2 linked regions of the Pelodiscus sinensis genome follow. The protein of the gene in region 2 purifies or fractionates together with the protein of the main gene of each other region. This does not show direct contact. Links are inferred from orthologs where the notes say so. Each region holds a gene or a part of one and is shown on either strand. Other genes may lie near its edges.

The links. The genes of interacting proteins can lie anywhere in the genome.
Region 1: the proteins of LIN37 (region 2) and MYBL2 purify together in Homo sapiens (affinity purification with mass spectrometry; 6 studies listed by BioGRID and IntAct, counting the BioPlex papers as one, with this or other methods). This does not show direct contact. The link is inferred for Pelodiscus sinensis from reciprocal best matches to the Homo sapiens genes LIN37 and MYBL2.

What each region holds. Positions count from the first base shown.
Region 1 is NC_134728.1:29,651,607-29,655,351, reverse strand, and holds the start of MYBL2 (myb-related protein B), read left to right. Parts: upstream 1-1,187; 5' UTR 1,188-1,339; coding exon 1,340-1,386; intron 1,387-3,139; coding exon 3,140-3,325; intron 3,326-3,745. UniProt on the Homo sapiens protein: Transcription factor involved in the regulation of cell survival, proliferation, and differentiation. Transactivates the expression of the CLU gene.
Region 2 is NC_134734.1:5,194,795-5,198,539, reverse strand, and holds the start of LIN37 (protein lin-37 homolog), read right to left. Parts: upstream 2,965-3,745; 5' UTR 2,950-2,964; coding exon 2,940-2,949; intron 833-2,939; coding exon 779-832; intron 1-778.

The sequences.
Region 1 (3,745 bases), on a different chromosome or scaffold from region 2:
GAGGCAACCCCGCACTAGCTGCTTCCTCCCAGCAAACCAGGGAGACGCGAAGCTAGTGCCACCCCTCCCCAGCAGACCAGGGAGACGCGGAGCTAGCGCCCCTCCCCCCCAGCAGACCAGGGAGACGCGGAGCTAGCGCCCCTCCCCCCCAGCAGACCAGGGAGACGCGAAGCTAGCGCCCCCCCCCCAGCAGACAAGGGAGACGCGGAGCTAGCACCCCCCCCCAGCAGACCAGGGAGACGCGGAGCTAGCGCCCCCCCCCCAGCAGACCAGGGAGACGCGGAGCTAGCGCCCCCCCCCAGCAGACCAGGGAGACGCGGAGCTAGCGCCCCCCCCCCCCCAGCAGACCAGGGAGACGCGAAGCTAGCGCCCCCCCCCCCCCCAGCAGACCAGGGAGACGCGAAGCTAGCGCCCCCCCCCCCAGCAGACCAGGGAGACGCGAAGCTAGCGCCCCCCCCCCAGCAGACCAGGGAGACGCGAAGCTAGCGCCCCCCCAGCAGACCAGGGAGACGCGGAGCTAGCGCCCCCCCCCCCAGCAGACCAGGGAGACGCGGAGCTAGCGCCCCCCCCCAGCAGACCAGGGAGACGCGGAGCTAGCGCCCCCCCCCCAGCAGACCAGGGAGACGCGGAGCTAGCGCCCCCCCCCCAGCAGACCAGGGAGACGCGGAGCTAGCGCCCCCCCCCAGCAGACCAGGGAGACGCGGAGCTAGCGCCCCCCCCCAGCAGACCAGGGAGACGCGGAGCTAGCGCCCCCCCCCCAGCAGACCAGGGAGACGCGGAGCTAGCGCCCCCCCCCCCAGCAGACCAGGGAGACGCGGAGCTAGCGCCCCCCCCCCAGCAGACCAGGGAGACGCGGAGCTAGCGCCCCCCCCCAGCAGACCAGGGAGACGCGGAGCGGCTTTTCTCAGCAGACACCTCAGCTTGAGAATAAAGGACTGAGGGAAGTGAGGTGTGGGAGAATAAAACTGAGCGCTGGAGAAATGTTTGGCTAGCGTTTCCCCTACAACATGTACAGTTCCGACTTGCATACAAATTCAACTTAAGAACAACCCCCCAGTCCCTATCTTGTATGTAACCCGGGGACTACCTGTACTACAATCAGGAGGATTAGCGGGGCCAGTGACATCCGCGGGTCCGCTCGGCTCTCCCCTCTTTTGTCCTCGCCAGGCTCCCGTACCCACCGGCTGTTTTCCTTCCTGCCTGAAGAGGGATCCTCAGCCCCGCCGCCGGGCTGGCTCCCCGGGCGCCATGTCCCTCCCGTGTCCCGCTCTGGGCGCGCCGCGGCGGAGCGCGCCGCCCGGCCTAGGCGGAGCGCGGCCTGCAGGATGCTGAGCGGGGCATGGCGGCGGGCCTGCCGCGCCCCGCCGCCCGGGGGCCGTTGCTGAGGTAACCGCACGTGTTCGCCCCCCCCCTCCCGGCGAGGCTCCCCGGGGCCGCCGCGTCTCCCGGGGAGGGGCCGAGCGGGCCTGACTCAGCCCGGGGGGTTAAGTAACTTCTCCCCTCCCCGGCCACTCGGCGAGCCGGGCCCTGCTCCCCCCCAGGCGGGCTGCTCCCGGCCGGCGCGGGCGGACACGGGACAAGGGGGGTTCCCTCTGCTCTCGCCCACCCACCTGCCGCCGCGCCTGCTCGCCCGGGCCCGAGCGCTGCTGAGCCTGCGCCCAGCAGGCGATTGGCAGCAGCTCCCTTCGCGGGGAGGGGGAGAGGCTGGTCTCGGTCCCGGACCCGAGCGCCCCCCTCTAAGTGGGGAGGGGCTCCCGGAGGGAAAGGCGCTTGTGAGCAGCCCTCTTGCTTCTTTGTGCGCCCCCCCCCCCCCCCAGGGACCAGTCCCGTGGGGGGATGCTCACTCAGGGGCGTGACCCGCGATGAAGCGGGGCAGAGATGCCGGGATGAGACTGTGAATGGCTCTTCCCGCAGAAAAACCTTAAGTTCTGCCTTAAAGTCAACCCCGGAGAAATCGCTCCAGCACGACAGAAGTGGTAGGGCAGCTTGTGGGGTACCGCTGTCACTTAGTGCTACAGAGCAGTCAGCGGGAGAGGGGACTTCCTCCCCAAACGCAGCCATGAGACTGCCAGCCCGGCCCCACCCCGCAGGAGATATTTGAACTCAGGAGCCAGAAGGGTTTCACATATTGGGATAGAAAACTCTTACTTGCTCCCCACAGTCTAACTTCCACATTCAGAATGGTGAAGTTATTCCCTCTCCTGACTCTGATCAGCATAACCCTGGTTCCAGGCCAGGTGTTTGCAGGTTGTGCATTTAGATCTGCCCTTTCAGTGGCCAGAGAGCACTTTACTTCCTGTCCTAATGGGGGATGGTAATGATATTAGCTAGCCACAGCCTAGAGCTAACAGACAGCAGCTGGTAGCTTTTGGGGTCTCAGTTGCAATTAATTGAGACGTATGTTTTTCCCTTCATAGGGGAAAAACATGACTTCACCAGTCTATTAACTGGGTTAGAGTAGTTTTAGACTACCCCCCCTATTGTCTGTAAGTTAGGGGCTTTGAAGAGTTATTAATTTATCTGAGAAGATTGACATCAGTGGTGGTGTAACAGATTGAAGAATGTGGAAGTTAGTTTAACATGTAGGCCAAATCCAAAAGGTACATAAAGCCCAGTTTTGATACTACAGTAACCAGAAATTTCCTGGTTACTGTAGTAGGTACCTAAACACAGAGCACTAGGGCTGTAAAATCCCAGTCAACCACGATCACAGTCACTCACCTCTGCTGAGCTAAGTCCCTCCTTCTCCCCCTCCCCCATGGGGGGGGAGAGAAGGAAGTGGTGGTGGAAGCAGGAGGCAGAAGCCAAGCCCAGCATGAAGAATGGTGCTGGCTCCTGCTCCCGCAAGCACCCCCCATGGTAGAGTGGGGAGGGGGGGTAAGATGGGCTGCTCCCAGGCATGGGTTAACCATTCTCATCTCTACTCAGCACCTACATACAAGTTAACTAAACCTTTGAGCAGATGAAAGCCACTGACCTAAAGGAATGTGGCAGTGCAATCTTACTAGACTTTTGCACCCCCTTCAGGAATCTGATGTATTGGTACACTCAAGTCTCAGCTCATTTAAACTACTTGCTTACAAAAGGAAAAAAAGTCCCAGAACACTTACTGAAAAGTTGCTTATTTTCTCATTTTTAGCCATGTAATTCTAAATCTACTAGAAGATTTACCTGGTGTTGCTCAGGTCCTTGACTCCATTTTTATTTTTCCTTCATTTAAATCATTGCCCTGGAATGGGGCTGGGCTGAGAGGTCCAGGATGCAGGCTGCTTTGGGGAAGAGAAGACAACCCCAGCCCTCCCTCACTGCAGCAGCTTGGGACCAGGTGAGAAGTGCCTGACCATGACCACTGCAGTGGGCACAGCCAGGGGAGGCGCGCATGTCCTCTGGCTAGAGGACAGACACAGACTCTGAAATATATAGTAGATAGCTATCTACCTCTGCCACCTTCTGGCTCAATGGGGTTAAAGCTATCCTGGTCCCTATCTCTGACCTCTCTCTGCCGTCATTCTGCAGTATAACTGGCCTTCCTACCCGAGTTCTCCCTTTCTATTCTATGAGAAAGTCCAGGCACATCCCATTATCCTAGCACAATGAAACCCCAAACCAGGTGATAAGACGAAGCTGCATACCAAACTTGGTGGTCTTAGCTCTTTCCATTTGTTCAAGAACTTCTCTTAATGGTCTCAGATTTCTAAAATATCTAGTAAGATAGGAGTACAGTATATATGTTCCAATTTCAGTG
Region 2 (3,745 bases):
GGCATTGCTGTGAAACCCAGCCAGCTGAGTCCAGGGACATATGAAGGGGTCAGCTTGTGAGTGCTGAGTACCCAGTCCTCTCAGACGTGCTCTGTTAGTGGGTGTGAGTGTCTGTGTGTGTTGCTAAGGTGGGAAGAACCCCATCCTGAGGAACCTAGTTCCTGCAGGAGAGCTCCAGTGGGAGGGGGAATTGGCAGCAGGGAGAATTCAGCTTCATATGAGAGCCCAAGTAAGCACCAAGAGCACACTGATAGAACTGTCAACTTTCCCCCAGTCCCATAAGGGTAACCCTGATAAATGAGCATACCCCAAAGTATTGGGCAAATCTGGTAACAATGTGGCAGAGAAGTCTCCGGGGGAAATAGGGATGGGGAATGCATTGGGGTCAGCTTGCTGGTGGGGCTGCAGACAGGCTGCTGAGCCAGGGCTGCCTAGCACACACTCGCGGTGTGACCTGTAGGCTAGCTATGGACATCCCAGGCTGCATGGGGAGCAAAGATACCCGGGTTACAGGGTAAGTGGGGACAGACCGTGACTGGACCAGCACCCAACCCCCAACACCACCCACATGATCACCCTGCCCTACAAGGCACAGGCTCTGTGGCTGTCTTAGAATGAATCAGCCACTGGGCATAGTGTAGCTGTGGGGTGGGATTGTCTTTCAGGGCGTGGCTGGGGGGGAAGCTGGAATCTCAGCATAGATGGCTGGGGGGTGCCCGCCCTGCCATCTGGTATCACCAGTGTTCTCCAGGCAGACCCACAGGGGTATAGAACCCACCCTGCTTCTCGGTTTCCACCTTCGTAGGCAGCATGGTGACAGGAGCCAGGAACCCTGTGGAGAAAGGTCGGGCATCAGAGAGCGAGCTACAGAGACACAGGCATGGAGAGCAGGGTGGGCGGCTGATGGGTTATAGCTGGGGGAAACTGGGAGTCAGGACTCCTGGGTACTATCTTGGCTCAGGGGGCAAGGAGGGGGCAATAAAACCCTGGTCTCCTGATCTAACCTCCCTCTAAGCTCCACAACCTCCTGTTAAGCCCCACCAGGGGGCTCAGGGCTGCAGTGGAGAGAGATGCCTCTCCCCAGCCCCGAAGCTGCCACAGTCGGGGGAGAGGTGACCCTCCCGCAGCCCCAGCCCAGAGCTGCTGCAGCCAGGGCAGTTCTGTGCTGGGCTGGCAGGGAAGCAGTAAGTAGCAGGTCCCGGGGGGAGGCTCTACACCAGCTGCGCATTCCCACTGGCTGGTTCTTGTGGTGCACAGGGGTGAGAGCAGTGCACATGGTGCACAGTGGAGCCTCATGCCCCTCCCATCCCCTGGAGCTGGACATGCTGGCTGCTTCTGGGGCCCAGAGGGGTGCCCCAAGAGGCATGCACCAGGCCTGCCTTAGCACCACAGGCCAGGAACCACCCAGGTAAGCCCAAGCCCCAGCCCCCCACCTGACCCCTCCCAACCCAGACTACCACCTGGACCCCAAATCTCTCATTCCTGGCCCCACCCCCAGACCGGAGCCTGTACCCTCTCCTGCACTCCAAGCCCAGGCCTCAGCCCCTCCCCAAATTCCTCATTCCCAAGCCCACTCCAGAGCCCACATCCTCGCTGGAGACTTCACCCCCTCCTGTACCCCAACTACCTGCCCCAGCCCAAAGCCCCCAATTACACCTCCTCAGCCTTATCACTGCCACACACTGTCCCTGTGTAGAATGACTTGTGTGACTGAGTGGGGAAGTGCAAAGAGGTTGCACGCACAGAGGAGGCACTCAGCGTCCCTGGGTGTTACTGGTTTAACAAGGGGAGAAGAGGGAGTTTGTTGTTACAGGGGACAGTACAGGAGACCCCAGTGACTGGCAGGCCCAGCTCGGAGGGCAGAGCCAGGTCTGGCCAGTGGGAGGATAATGGGTTGCAGAAACAAGACCTGGGTGACCTGCTCAGCTTGTTCCAGCGGGGTGGGGAGTGGGGAGCTGGGGGGAGAGAGAATAAAGAATGGAGAAGAGAGCAGAGGGGCCCAGGCAACCCTATTTTTCTGGACTGAAGACAAAGGCTGCGGAGGGGACTCAGCTGGAAGAAGGGAGCTTCTGAACTGGAAAGGGAGAGTTTAGGCAGAGCCCACTCAGCTGCAGGGGAGACTCAGACATGCTGGGCTGAGAGGGGCCAGGCCTACAGGCCTGAGGGTCCCTTTGTTGTGTTCAATAAACCCTCCTGTTTTACACTGAGAGTTGCTTTGGTCTGGAGAACAGGGCTGAACTATTCCCTTTGGGAGTGGAGGCCCTGGGGGCCTACAGCAGAGACAGGTCTGCTGAAGGCCTCTAGAATCACTGTCCCAGGAGACAGAGGGGCAGACCCCAGGGAGAGAGAGGACTTGCAGATAAAGGGCTGTCACACTGGAGTGGGTTCTGCCCAGGGACGGTATGGGCCAAGTGTGGGCGTGACCTGTGAGTGTGTGCCATAATTGTCTCCTCCATATGGTGCATATAACAAAAGTAATTCCACACACAGACATAAAACATTGGAGGGAACACTGGTCCTGACCCTTTCATGATGAATCCAGTTGCCAGATTTTTCAAAAACGACAAACTTCATTGGCCCTCAGAAGCCCCAGATAGGTCAGAGCCAGCCTGGTGTGCTCAACACCTGAGGAACAGCAGCAAGGATGGACTGACCGCCCAACCCGCCACTGGGCAAAGCTTTTCTTTGGCCTGTTTTTCTAGCCGCTGGGCAAAGCCACACAGAGAAACTGAAATGGGCCAAGTGCAGAGTAAGCCAAGTTCTCCAGCAGATGCACTGAAGTGGACAAAACCTCAGGGAAAGGTGCAAGCCCAAAGCCAAACAGAGTGGGAGGGAAGGGGGCTGGATCTTGCAGATGCTTTTCTGCCTCAGGACTGCTCAAACCCTGGACAATCGTCAGGATTTCAGGGCTTCTGGCTCCTTGCAGTTGGCACCACTACCTTTTTTCATTTGGGGCACATTTCCTTGGGGAACGTGAGCCAGCTACCAAAAGGAACAGCAGAGCCAGAACTGGCCAAGCTTGCAGTGGGGGACAGTGCTGCAATGACCCACCCCCTCCTGCCTCTCACATACCCCGCCCCCTCCCCGCAATGACCCACCCCCTCCTGCCCCTCACATACCCCGCCCCTCCCCGCAATGACCCACCCCCTCCTGCCCCTCACATACCCCGCCCCACCCCCCCGCAATGACCCACCCCCTCCTGCCCCTCACATACCCCGCCCCACCCCCCCGCAATGACCCACCCCCTCCTGCCCCTCACATACCCCGCCCCACCCCCCCGCAATGACCCACCCCCTCCTGCCCCTCACATACCCCGCCCCACCCCCCAGCAATGACCCACCCCCTCCTGCCCCTCACATACCCCGCTCCACCCCTCCGCAATGACCCACCCCCTCCTGCCCCTCACATACCCCGCTCCACCCCTCCGCAATGACCCACCCCCTCCTGCCCCTCACATGCCCCTCCCCACCCCCCCCCGCAATGACCACTCCCTCCTGCCCCTCACATACCCCGCCCCACCCCCCCCACAATGACCCACTCCCTCCTGCCCCTCACATACCCCGCCCCACCCCCCCTCAATGACCCACCCCCTCCTGCCCCTCACATACCCCCGCTCCACCCCTCCGCAATGACCCACCCCCTCCTGCCCCTCACATACCCCTCCCCACCCCCCCCGCAATGACCCACCCTCCTGCCCCTCACATACCCCGCCCCACCCCTCCGCAATGACCCACCCCCTCCTGCC